Linked DNA regions of Callithrix jacchus. The protein of the gene in region 2 interacts with the protein of the main gene of each other region in a biochemical or structural test. Links are inferred from orthologs where the notes say so. Each region holds a gene or a part of one and is shown on either strand. Other genes may lie near its edges.

Region 1 (3,644 bases), on a different chromosome or scaffold from region 2:
AAGGAGGGTGCCTGACTTTGAAGGTGCCTAGGAGAACTAGGCCATTCTTCTTTCAGGGACAACCCTTCACCCTGCTATTCTCAACAGTTCATTTGCCAGGCCTGGCACTCCCTTGTTGCCTTCCTGACTTCCTCTCTGCATACTGTGGACCTTACAGGAAAGGGGCCCTGGTCAGCTGGCCAGGAGGAGCTGAGCAGAAGACCTGGCAGCTGCAGTAAGTCTGTGTGATCCCTGACTGCTAACCTTCCCTCTGGTACTGTGTCCCCATACTTCCCCAGGGCAGAGGAAGTGCCCTCACCCTCTCCCTCCATCCAAATGATGAAGGCTCAGGGCCCAGCTGCTCTCCACTCTGCATACAATTATTGTCTGATCACAAGGCCACCCATCCAGGCCTTCCTCCACTCTACCTACCTTCTCCATGCTACTGATGTCACAAGTGATCCCTTTGAGGACCAGATCCAGCTCAGGTCGGTACCGCACTTGGTAGTTGCTAAACTGGATGTTGCCTTTGCTGGGCCAATCTGGTGGAGGCCTCTTATCAGTCACCCAGGGTGCCTGGCAAGGAGACAAGGTGAGAAGTATGCTTTATAAGGTGGCAACTCAGCTGAACGGTTCTCTTAGGCCCCACGTCACAGAACAGGAAAAGGGTAGCAGTGACCCAGCTACCTAATGGCCTCTGCATTTCATAGACTGAACTGCACTTGTACCTTTGGAAGATTCCTTCCTTACTCAGTTAAAGAAAAATTATCACATGAGCTTGTGTTGTAGATCTCCTCAGTATGTTCTAAGACCTGACTTCCCCTAAACCATTTCCTATTCTAAGTTTGAAGAAATAAGGTCTTTTGAGTTACAGGAAAGGAAACTTTAGGGGACCCATTACTAGCCCATATGAAATATGGAGACATTCTAAAGATGCACTCTTGAAGGAGTTGCATGGTTTTTTTTTTGCCTTGTCCCTGGATTTTTCTAATTCCTCCTTACCTCATTTTCCACTTTTGTGTACTCAGTTATTCGCTCAACAGCCACAATGTTGGTCTCTATTTCTGATGTCATCCTCACTAGCCAGTTCAGGGTTTGTGTGATCTACAGAAAAACCAGAAGACTGAAAATCATCTTAGACACGGAAACCAACTCCACTACTCAAACCACAAGGACGATCCAGTGCCTACTTTGTACCCAGCACTGTGCTGGGCTCTACAAGGGAGTAAGGAAAAGTGTAAGAAAGACAATCCTTGCCTCCTTGGGGAAGGAATCAAGAGCAGGGCATTGAATGGCTGCAGAACAATTAGGTACTCACACAAAGGGCAATGTGAGTGTCTAGTGGTTTGGGTCTAAAGCTGGAATTGGAGAGTCTGGCAACGGGTGCTCAGGCCTCCTGCCTGTATGCCTAGTGCTCTTTGTGAATCAAGGAAAGACATGATCCCGGCCAGGGAATCTGTAGATTACTCAGATGCAAGCTTCTCTCAGGAAAAGACTCAGGAGTTTGCATGTATGCACAGGGAGTTTTTGTTGAGAAAATGGTGGTTAGAGAAAGGGAGCCATAGACAGCAGAGGATAGAATCATGGGGACCCAGAATAACCACTTTGTGTAGATTGAAGCATATGTAGTTGCTGGTTGAGTCATTTTGTTTTGGTTCAATCTAATAGATTCTTATTTGCCTGTCTGTCCTGGGCTAAAAAGCCGAGAAATGGGGGGATGAAAGGGCAGTGGCACAAGGAATGAAATGACTCTAGTGACTAACAAAGTCCTTTTAGGTGCCCTGGCAGGAATTAAACCTTATTAACTTCTTCTTTTTTTTTGAGATGGAATCTTGCTCTGTGGCCCAGGCTGGAGTGCAATGGCATGACCTTGGCTCACTGCAACCTCTGCCTCCTGGGTTCAAGTGATTCTCCTGCCTCAGGGATTACAGGTGCCTGCCACCACACCTGGCTAATCTTTTGTATTTTTAGTAGGGACTGGGTTTTACCATATTGTCCAGGCTAGTCTCAAACTCCTGACTTCAGTTGATCCGCCCGCCTTGGCCTCTCAAAGTGCTGGGTTTACAGGTGTGAGCCACCGCGCCCCACCAGCCTTATAAACTTCTAATGAAAACAGCACTATTCTATAAAGCCCACATATAACTATGCAAATCTCCAAAAATTAGTTCAAAAAGATGGTCAAATGACTCATTTATTGAACAAATATTGATTGAATAGTGACTGTAGTGCCAGCCACTGTCTTAGGTGCTGGAAAAGAACTGTGCCTGCCATGTCTCCCCTAGTCACGCTGGGGCTGCTGCAGTGAGACTCATTCTGTAGTTTATCAGACTCTATGTTCTTTATTAAAATTACCTCCAATTATTCTGTGATCTAAGAAAAATAAACACAGGAGGAGTTTTTTGTTCTAAAAGGCTTTCTGATTACTGCTACATTCTAGAGAAGAAAGTCATTTATTCTCTCTTTTAACTAGAACCAAGCAAAGAGGCAGACAGGGAACAATTAGATCGAAACACATGAAATTGCCTTCTTAAGTCCTAAGGTCAACATTTATGTCCAGTTTTCTAGAGGGCACTCATGTCTATTTAGGAAGAGTAAGGAGCATGTCCATGGGTGAAAGATGGAGCCAGGGTTGGTCTCCGTTAGTCCTTCTGGGGTTAAGAGGGAATCAAGAGCACAGACTCCAGAGTATACTTCAGGCTTAATTTAAAAATAAGCCCACTAACATAACCAAACTCCCAACCTTCAAACTCACATTGAGTGCATTGGACAGAACAAAGCCAACAGTGTCCCCATTTAGTGTATCTCTATAAATAACCATCATCAAGGCCGAAAAGAAGACAATCAGGTTCCCAACCAGCTCCAGGCGAATTGCAAGCCACCTGTGGGGCAACAGAACCAGAGAGTGGGTGTCACTAATCACTTCCTCATCTTAACCAGCATCCTTGGTGTTCATAGAACATTCTCAGAGGGTTTGACTCAATCAGGCTGCACTCTTAGGTGAAGCCTCAATTTGTCTTAGAAACACCATGTATTCCTAAAAGCCTATTGATTTTTTTTTTAAGAAAACAAATTGCATTTTAAAGATCCTAGAGGAGTTTCCTAAATTAAGGGAATTCTATTGTGCAATGTCTCCCAAACTCGCCAAATCATAAGAATCACCTAGAGCAAGGGCAACTGTTAAAATACAATGTTAAAAATTCACGTGGAAAATTCCTGGACCCTTTTCTGATTCAAGGGGCCTAGGATGGGATTCAAGAATCTGCATTTTGTTTTTGTTTTTGTTTTATGAGACAGGGTCTTGCTCTGTCACTAAGGTGAGACTGCAGTGGGATGATTATGATTCACTGCAGCCTTGACCTCCCGGCTCAAGCCATCCTCCCACCTCAACCTCCCAAGAAGCTGGAACTATAGGTGCATGCCACCGCACCCAGCTAATTTGTGTGTGTGTGTGTGTGTCTGTGTGTTTTGGAGAGCCAGGATTTCATCATGTTGCCCAGGCTGGTCTTGAACTCCTGGGTTCACATGACCTGCTTGCCTCAGTCTCCCAAAGTGCTGGGATTACAGGTGTGAGCCACTACTCCTGGCCAAGAATCTGCATTTTGAATGAAAGCTCCAAGTGACTTTTTTTGATCACTTGGGGAAGAAATGCCATAGTGACCACAGGA
Region 2 (4,293 bases):
CCAGTCTCTTCTGGGGCCCAAGGCAGGTTGCAGGAGATCCAATCACTTAGAGAGCTCTGGGCCTCTTGCATTTGAGTTTTTCAGAATTAAATTGCAGTATTTTGGAAAGCACATCCTGTCCACTGTTTCTTTGAAGTGTGTGTGGGAGGGGTGTCCTGTTGACGGAATTGTCATTCACTGCCAAAATCATTCCATCCTCCTCTCAGTGTCTCTCCTGAGGGTCAGTTCCCCCCTTAACAGACTCCCTACCTCTGTGACCAGCCTCTCTTTGGCAAGAGGGAGCTAAAGGCTTATCTTACAGTCCTAATCATTTTTCTTTCTCTGTTGGAAAAAAAAAAAAAAAAACCAAGGCTCTGTTCCCTGTGGAGTGTACCCAGAGGCTGATTATCTGAGTCTGTTCTGCCTCTCCCCATCCCACCTCCCTAGCCAAACGCTGACACCAAAGCCCATGCCATTGCCCTAGGTGTCCTGTCTTCAGTGAGTTGCCCCTCGAGGTCCCAGGCTCTCCACCGAGCCCGCACCTCTGCACCTTCCCAAGCAGGAATCAGAACCTGCACTCCTCTATGCGAGGAGTGCCAAGTGTCAGGCAGCGCTGCCTGACAGTGCAAAGTGGGTTAGCGTTAGGGTTCCCACAAACGGAAAAATGTTATTCAAACAACTCTATAGGGTCCGAGGAGGCTCTCAGTCTTAATTCTCAAGACTGCCTGGCCCTCGCTGCCCCGCGGGAGCCGTTGCCCCGGCAACAGCCGGTCCCCCTTAAGCAGAGCTGCACCCATGCTTTGGCTAAAGGCTGTTAAAACGTTGGCCAGTGCAGTGGTTCACACCGGTAATCCCAGCACTTTGGGAGGCCGAGGTGGGTGGATCACCTGAGGTGAGGAGTTTGAAACCAGCCTGGCCAACACGGCGAAACCCCGTCTCTACTAAATCTACAAAAAAATAGCCGGGCGTGGTGGCGGGCGCCTGTAATCCCAGCTACTCGGGAGGCTGAGGCAGGAGAATCGCTTGAATCCAGGAGGCGGAGGCTGCAGTGAGCCGAGATCGCGCCACTGCACTCCAGCCTGGAGACAGAGCAAGACTCCGTCTCAAAATAAATAAATAAATAAGAAAAAAAGAGTCCCTTTACCAGAGGGCCTCTCCTCACTCTCCGCCACAGGCAGGGGAAACCAGGCCGGAGCCGGTGGGCCCCACCACCCAGAACCGAGAACTGAGCGGGCCCCGCCCCTGCCACCCCAGCGCCGGCAGCTCGGCAACAAACACTTCCACTTCCTGAGCGCTCTGTCTTCGCCCGCCACTGGGCTCCGCGCCGAGGACAGGCCCCGCCCCACGCGTTTCCATTGGCCGGCGCCGTTCACCCGGCAGCAGCGCCCCGGCCCGCGGCCTCCGATTGGCTCGCGGAGTCCCACACCCTCTGCGTGGCCCCGCCCCCGGGGTAAGGAGCCTGGGCGGGCTCTGGAAAGCTCAGACGCCGAGCGAGGCGGGGATTGGTCCGCGCTCCTTTCTTTACTCCTCAAGGCTCGCGGCGGCCGGCGGTTCCCGGGACACCTGCTCGCTTCGCCGGTCCCGCGGCGCTGGGCTTCCCTGCTGCGTTCCCGGTTCTCTGGGCGGGAAGAAGGATTGAGCCGTCCCGTCTCCAACGGAACCCCGAGTGGCGCAGCTGAGTCGTCGCAGGGCGAGATGAGCGCGGACGCGGCGGCCGGGGCGCCCCTGCCCCGGCTCTGCTGCCTGGAAAAGGGTCCGAACGGCTACGGCTTCCACCTGCACGGCGAGAAGGGCAAGGTGGGCCAGTACATCCGGCTGGTGGAGCCCGGCTCGCCGGCGGAGAAGGCAGGGCTGCTGGCCGGGGACCGGCTGGTGGAGGTGAACGGCGAGAACGTGGAGAAGGAGACCCACCAGCAGGTGGTGAGCCGCATCCGCGCCGCGCTCAACGCCGTGCGCCTGCTGGTGGTCGACCCCGAGACGGACGAGCAGCTGCAGAAGCTCGGCGTCCAGGTCCGCGAGGAGCTGCTGCGCACCCAGGAAGCGCCGGGCAAGGCCGAGTCGCCAGCCGCCGCCGAGGCGCAGGGGGCTGGCAACGAAAATGAGCCTAGCGAGGCCGACAAGAGCCACCCGGAGCAGGTAAGCCGGGCCGGGGCGGCGCCGGCTGGAATGAGGTGGGAGGGGGATCGGGAGGGACCCAGGCGCCACGGCCGTCCAGCCCCGCGCCCGCCGTTGTCTTTCTGAAAACTCTAACTGCGAGGGGGAGACGGCTTCCGCCCGCCGACCAGGCTCCCTGGTAGATCCTAGGCAGGCCTGGGGCTGCGTCCCGCGACCTCTCTCCTTCCCTGGCTGTGCTGGGAGCCTGAGCGCCTTTGCCACCTGCACCTCTTGTTCCCTGGCCCTTGAGAGGGCAGCGCAGGGGAACCCAGTCCCCCTTCCCTCAGGTCTGTGTCTGCTCGTAATCCACCAATCCTGCCCCTCCCTGGCGCCCTCTCATCGTTCACCCCAGTCCGCAGATGGGCTCGGGAGGAAGGACTCTCCGCCCCAGAGGTGCCAGCTTCATCCACCACCCCTACTTCAAAAGCTAGAGGAATAGCCCTTCCTCCTCCTGTGCGGAGCCCCGGCGCGAGGTGGCCCTCCCTCAGCCCGCCGGTGTGTGCAATCAGCTTCAGCCCTGCTGGACTTCATCCTCCCGGAGTGCGGTGTAACTTCCAAGGGAGAGAAAGCCCCGCCATCTCAGGGCGGTGTGGGGGTGCTTGGCGGGAGGAGGAGTCAAGGCATCTCTGAGTGGTGGTTCTGCCACCCAGGAGGATTTACGACTCAGGAATGTGAGGAGTAAGCGCCTGTATCAGGGAGGGGAGGGGGAAGACCTTGGAAGGAGGGGAAGATGGCTGGGGGGAGGGGAGAGAGCTCTTGAGGCAAGTGGCGAGCCGGTGGTCTTGCCCTGGCCTTGCCACGCTCACTCGTGCCCACAGAGCCAGCAGGCCGGTTGCTTTTTGCCCATGTTTGGTGTTTGCCCATGGGATCCTGGTTTGGATCAGCTGCAGGAGGGGCAGCTGGCAAAACAGGAGTTGTGCTGAGTCTCCTGTCCCCAGAGAGTGGAGTGAGGAAGCTTCGGGTGCACACTGCGAAGGGCAGGGCCTGAGCCTCCCAGGGCCCCTTCAGCTTGCACCAGCTCTCCCTGGTGGCAGTGTGTGGTGGGAGTGTCCGTGGGGCCAGGAGGATCCTCCGTGGACAGAGAGACCACACAGTTCAGCATTAAGGTGGAAGGCAAAGCCCTAGGTAGGGGATCAACTGGTTAGGTGGAAGTGAGGTCACCAGAGACCTGTCCGGCCAGAGCTGGGTGCTGGGAATGCCAGGGCCACCAGGCTCCCACTTCCTGCCCCTGCCAAGCTGGCATTGGCAAGGGGTGGGGGAAGGGATCGGAGCACCCAGAGCAAGGGGTTGACACCAGAGGTTGGGGCCAATGATCTTTAATCCCAGGCAGAAATCCAGTGTGAACTTTGTGCTGAGTCCATCGATCGATTTGACCCTTTTTTTTTTTTTTTTTTGGACTTTGGCACTCACGGATACCCCCACCCTACTGCAAGTTGCAGTCTCATTCAGCTCCTCCCTTTGCCCTTTTGGTTACGCTGCTGGGTGCCAGAGGGCCTGGGAGGCTCCTGTGGAGGCTTGGCGTAGCACACACACTCAAAAGCCGTGGCTTTGAGCTTCCTGGGTGAGCACAGAATTTGATTCTTGCAGGTTTTAGAGGGACACCTACATTTGTGTGTACTTCCTTAGACCAGGAGATGAGAGGAGAGCCACCAGCAAACCCTGGGGACACTATCACCAGCCAAGTCCCAGGATTTCTGAGCTCTGGTTCTCCCGTCTGTGAGGTGGAGGCATTGGATGATGTTATGCCTGCCTTCTCTAGAACTTTAGAAATGATGTGAAGTACTCAAGCCCCTTACTCAATACTGAGCTGCACTGCGTCATGCCCAGGCGTTTGAATCCCAGCTGCTTCAAACTGACTCACAGTCAGCACCACTGAGTCCCTCTAGCAGAAAATCCCACACCGTTCTGTGTGAAGCTTGCGGATGGCCCATGCGGTTATTGCAAGAAATGTTAACAAACATTGTAAGAGCTATTTTTTCTAAAACGCATCCCTTTCCTATATAAAGCATCAAATTGAGGTTTGCCAGTTTGTTTTCATTTGAATTTGTGTGCAAGGTGGGGCTGTTCCCTTATCTTGATCAGCTCTTAAGTGAGTATCTCAGTGGAAAAGTGTGGCACAGAGAGTGGTTGGCTGGGTGGCCTCTTGGGAAGACCAGCTGT
Region 3 (3,644 bases), on a different chromosome or scaffold from region 2:
GACGTGCTCATCACCATTGATCTGCAGCTGGAAGGAGAGCTGGACCTCAGCATCCTCATGGAAGGCCCGCATGGTGTAGTGACCAGCCTCTGCCACCTTCACGCGAACGAGGGTCAGCTCTGACACGTACCTGGGGAGCAGGACAGGCAGCTGTGAGCTGGAAGAACTCTACGGTCCTCCTCACTCTCCTGGCATAAACAGCAACAAGGCCCAGGGAGGGAAAGGGCTTGCCAAGATCACCTAGACATTGGTAGCAGAGCCAGGACTCAAAGCCAGTATCCTAAATCCTTGCCCATAGGCAGTTCCCCTAGCCAAGAGGGAGGGTTGAGATGGGCTGTGGGTGGGGGTGGGCGGCGTTGAAGGAAAAGTCCTGTTTCTCTCCCCTTCAGAAAGGCCAGGCAGTGCCCCATCCTAACCTGTCTCAGTCTCTGTCAGCCAGCAAGTCTCTAGCCTCAGGGATACCACAGGCCATGAGTGGCCTGCCTGGCACCCTCTTCCCCAGTCATCTGGCCGTTTACTTCTTGGCTGCTACGGCTCGCCCCACCCATCACAAGGACAACTAAACATCTGGGTGATCATCTGACTGGCGCCTGTTTCCTCCACTAGACCAGAAACTCTAGGAGGGAGTCAGCTCCGGTCGCAGCAGCATCCCCCATGCCTGGCACCTAATATACTCTCAGAAAGCTGGGCCTAGGTTTGTGGCCACATGCCGAGGGCTGCCTAGTGGCTGCAAAGAAACATAACTTCAAGAATGGGGTGGGAGAGCAGGCTACTCACCGGGTCTCCGACACGTTGCGGGTGGACAGGGCGATCTCGCCAGCGCTGGAGTCACCCAGGGTGCGGTTGTCTTTGAACCACAGGACAGTGGGTGGCGGGTAGGCCTCGAACACTACCTGCAGCGTCCGGCTTCGGTGCAGCTCGGCAAACTGTAGAGCACCCAGCTCTCCCAGGAGACGCACGTAGCCACTCTCTGCAAGGAGCGACTGTCAGGGGCAGGGTCCTGGGGGCAGGACACCAACTGAATCCCAAAGGAGGCCAGCCTGGGGGACAGGGCTTCAGGCCTAGGGACCTTGCTGGCCAGCCAGCCATGGAGTTTCTGGAGCTGAGGTTGAAATCGGGATGGGGACAGGGCCTAGAGAAGGGGCCGAATTTGGGGCTGATGTTGATGTTGGGGCCGGCTCCTGGGGTGGGACCAGAGTTGTACCAATAGTTCTCTGTTCTGGATCAGCATTGTGGCTGAGCCTGGGGCTAGTGACGAGGCTGAATTTGCGGATGGGGCTTCCTGAATCTGGGACAGCAGCTGGGCTTGGAAATCAGGTTGGGGCTGGGGCTCTGGCTAGTCAGAAAGTCTAGGTTGAGATAGGGTTGGATTTGGGGCTGACACTGCATTTTGGTTTGGGTTTATCCTGGATTTGGGGTTTTGGTTGGCACAGAGGCTAGCTAGGGCCGCACTGGAGTGTGGCTGACTATACCCCCAGAGCTGTGACAGGCTCTGGGTCCAGCTCAGACTGGGGGTTGGGCTGAGCCCAAGGCACGCACCAACCACAGTGACGTTGATGGCCTTTTCATCCTGATGGTCATTCACACTCTCTGTCACATTGCAGATGTAGGTCCCCGAGTCGTCCAACTCGGCACTGGGGATGTGCAGGATGGAGCGGATGTGGTAAGGCATATCCAAGAGGAAGTCGGTCACCGGCTCCACCAGCCGCCCGCTCTGCAGGAACAGGTTAGGCAGGCCCCCCAATCAAGAGGGGCCGGTGAGGAGTCAGTCTGCAAGCCAGACATCCACCCCTTCCTGGCCCCTCCTCCGATCCTGCCTGGCCCCACATTACCTCTTGGCGGGGGTACGTCCACTCAAAGTTGACCACCTCATTCCCAATCACGATGCACATGAGGGTGATGTTCTCGCCCTGGCGGACCACAGTCTGCACAGCGTTCACAGAGACGTTGATGGATGACACTGGTGGAGAGAGATTGGCTTAGGGCTGGGAAGTCACTACCAGCCACTAGCACTTCACCTTGGGGATAGGGTAGGGGGCTAGAGAGGGAAAGGATGACTGATGTAGAAGATTCATTCATTCGACAAGTATTTACTGAATACCCACTACATGTCAAGTACTGTTCTAGATACTGGGGCTACAGTAGTGAACAAAATGGACCAAATTTCTGTTCTCATGGAGCTGATATTCTAGAAGGGGTAATAGTCTGGAAATCAAAGTACCCTCTGGAGATCTACATACAGGAGACATGTATTGAGCACATACCAAGTGCCAGGTGCTTTCCAGCTTTTATTTTATTTAAACTTCACAATGATCCTATGAGGTAAGCAGTCATTGTTATCTTTACGTTACAAGAGGGGAAGCAGGCTCAGAGAGATTATGTGCTTTGTGTAAAGTCACTAGGACGGAAAATGGTAAAGCTGGGATTTCAACCCAGCTGGCTCTGAAGCTTGCGACCTCACCGACCATTTTATATAGGCCAGCTCTGCCATTATCGTATTCTGCAACAGGGGGCAAACTCCACCCTCTCTGCACCTGAGTTTCCTCACCTGTAACATGGGGAAAACACTATCTCCCTTCCAAGGCTGTGGTGAGAATCCTATGAGAAATGGAGCCACACACTTTGCAAACTGTAAAGGGCTATTCCTCTGTGGAGGGTTATACTTGCCTCTGCTGAGCATCGGGCCAGAAAGGGAGCTCACCCTGGAGTCTGTAGACATAGTAGGCGTCGGAATCCACCTCCCTGTCCCCAATGGTGGTTTTGCAGATGTAGCTTCTGTCCTCGAAGATACCAGAAAAGCCTCGTTGGTGATCGTAGAGGACAGGCAGTGCAACGTCCCCTTTTTTCTCATGCAGTGTCACCACCAGCTGCGGGTCTGTCACTCGGCACGGAATTGTGGTCTCAGTTATTTCCGTGAGAAAGATGAATAGTTCCTCGGCATCATTAGGGAGGAAGACCACAGTGGGATCTGCCGGGAGTGGAGCCATGAATGAGTCAGGGGAACCGAGTTTCTGGCCATCCCCTGAATTGCTATGTGGCAAATCGTTTGCCCTCTCTAGCCCTCTGTCTCCCCATGACAGAATAGGGATGCTCCCAGAGGAGCATAAATCAAATGGTAGAGCTGGTCCCTTCCAGCTCTAATGTTGGATATTGACAGTGCCAGGGTAAGAAAGGAGACAAGTCACAAGTTGAAGTGCGGCTGATATCTAGGGCTTGGAGAATGGAGAAGATGGGATGTGGGGGCCAAGAGGGAGCAGATTGGAAGCAGCTGAGAATATAGAGTTCTTGGGAGGCAGGAATGGGGTGACTGGCAGGGAGATGGCTGTATTTCACAACAAACTAAAGCACTCTCTGGACTTCCCCTGATGTCTTCAGTTGAAAAGAGGGGTAAGGAGTGGGTACACAGGCTGGGGGCGCTTACCTGGCACAAAGATGTAGAGCCGTTTCCGCTCATCGAGCTCCAGGCCATGGGAGTCATTGTAGGTGCAGAAGTATTCTCCCGTGTCTAGCCCAGTGAGGTTGCTCAGTGTCAGCACACTGAAGAAGCTGCCGTCCTGGGCCTTGGCCATTTCCTGCGGGGGCTCCTGGGACATCCGTTCCCATACCACTGGAGCTGAACCCGAGCAGGTCAGAACGAAGGTGCT

Evidence for each region.
Region 1: the proteins of NHERF1 (region 2) and ABCC2 form a complex in vitro, tested with the Homo sapiens proteins (2 studies listed by BioGRID). The link is inferred for Callithrix jacchus from reciprocal best matches to the Homo sapiens genes NHERF1 and ABCC2.
Region 3: the proteins of NHERF1 (region 2) and PDGFRB form a complex in vitro, tested with the Homo sapiens proteins (2 studies listed by BioGRID and IntAct, with this or other methods). The link is inferred for Callithrix jacchus from reciprocal best matches to the Homo sapiens genes NHERF1 and PDGFRB.

Annotation. Positions count from the first base shown.
Region 1 is NC_133513.1:92,776,474-92,780,117, reverse strand, and holds part of ABCC2 (ATP-binding cassette sub-family C member 2), read right to left. Parts: intron 2,859-3,644; coding exon 2,732-2,858; intron 1,084-2,731; coding exon 982-1,083; intron 556-981; coding exon 412-555; intron 1-411. UniProt on the Homo sapiens protein: ATP-dependent transporter of the ATP-binding cassette (ABC) family that binds and hydrolyzes ATP to enable active transport of various substrates including many drugs, toxicants and endogenous compound across cell membranes.
Region 2 is NC_133506.1:130,683,443-130,687,735, forward strand, and holds the start of NHERF1 (Na(+)/H(+) exchange regulatory cofactor NHE-RF1), read left to right. Parts: upstream 1-1,460; 5' UTR 1,461-1,674; coding exon 1,675-2,115; intron 2,116-4,293. UniProt on the Homo sapiens protein: Scaffold protein that connects plasma membrane proteins with members of the ezrin/moesin/radixin family and thereby helps to link them to the actin cytoskeleton and to regulate their surface expression. Necessary for recycling of internalized ADRB2.
Region 3 is NC_133503.1:48,845,543-48,849,186, forward strand, and holds part of PDGFRB (platelet-derived growth factor receptor beta), read right to left. Parts: coding exon 3,422-3,644; intron 2,969-3,421; coding exon 2,702-2,968; intron 1,961-2,701; coding exon 1,833-1,960; intron 1,715-1,832; coding exon 1,540-1,714; intron 971-1,539; coding exon 778-970; intron 131-777; coding exon 15-130; intron 1-14. UniProt on the Homo sapiens protein: Tyrosine-protein kinase that acts as a cell-surface receptor for homodimeric PDGFB and PDGFD and for heterodimers formed by PDGFA and PDGFB, and plays an essential role in the regulation of embryonic development, cell proliferation, survival, differentiation, chemotaxis and migration.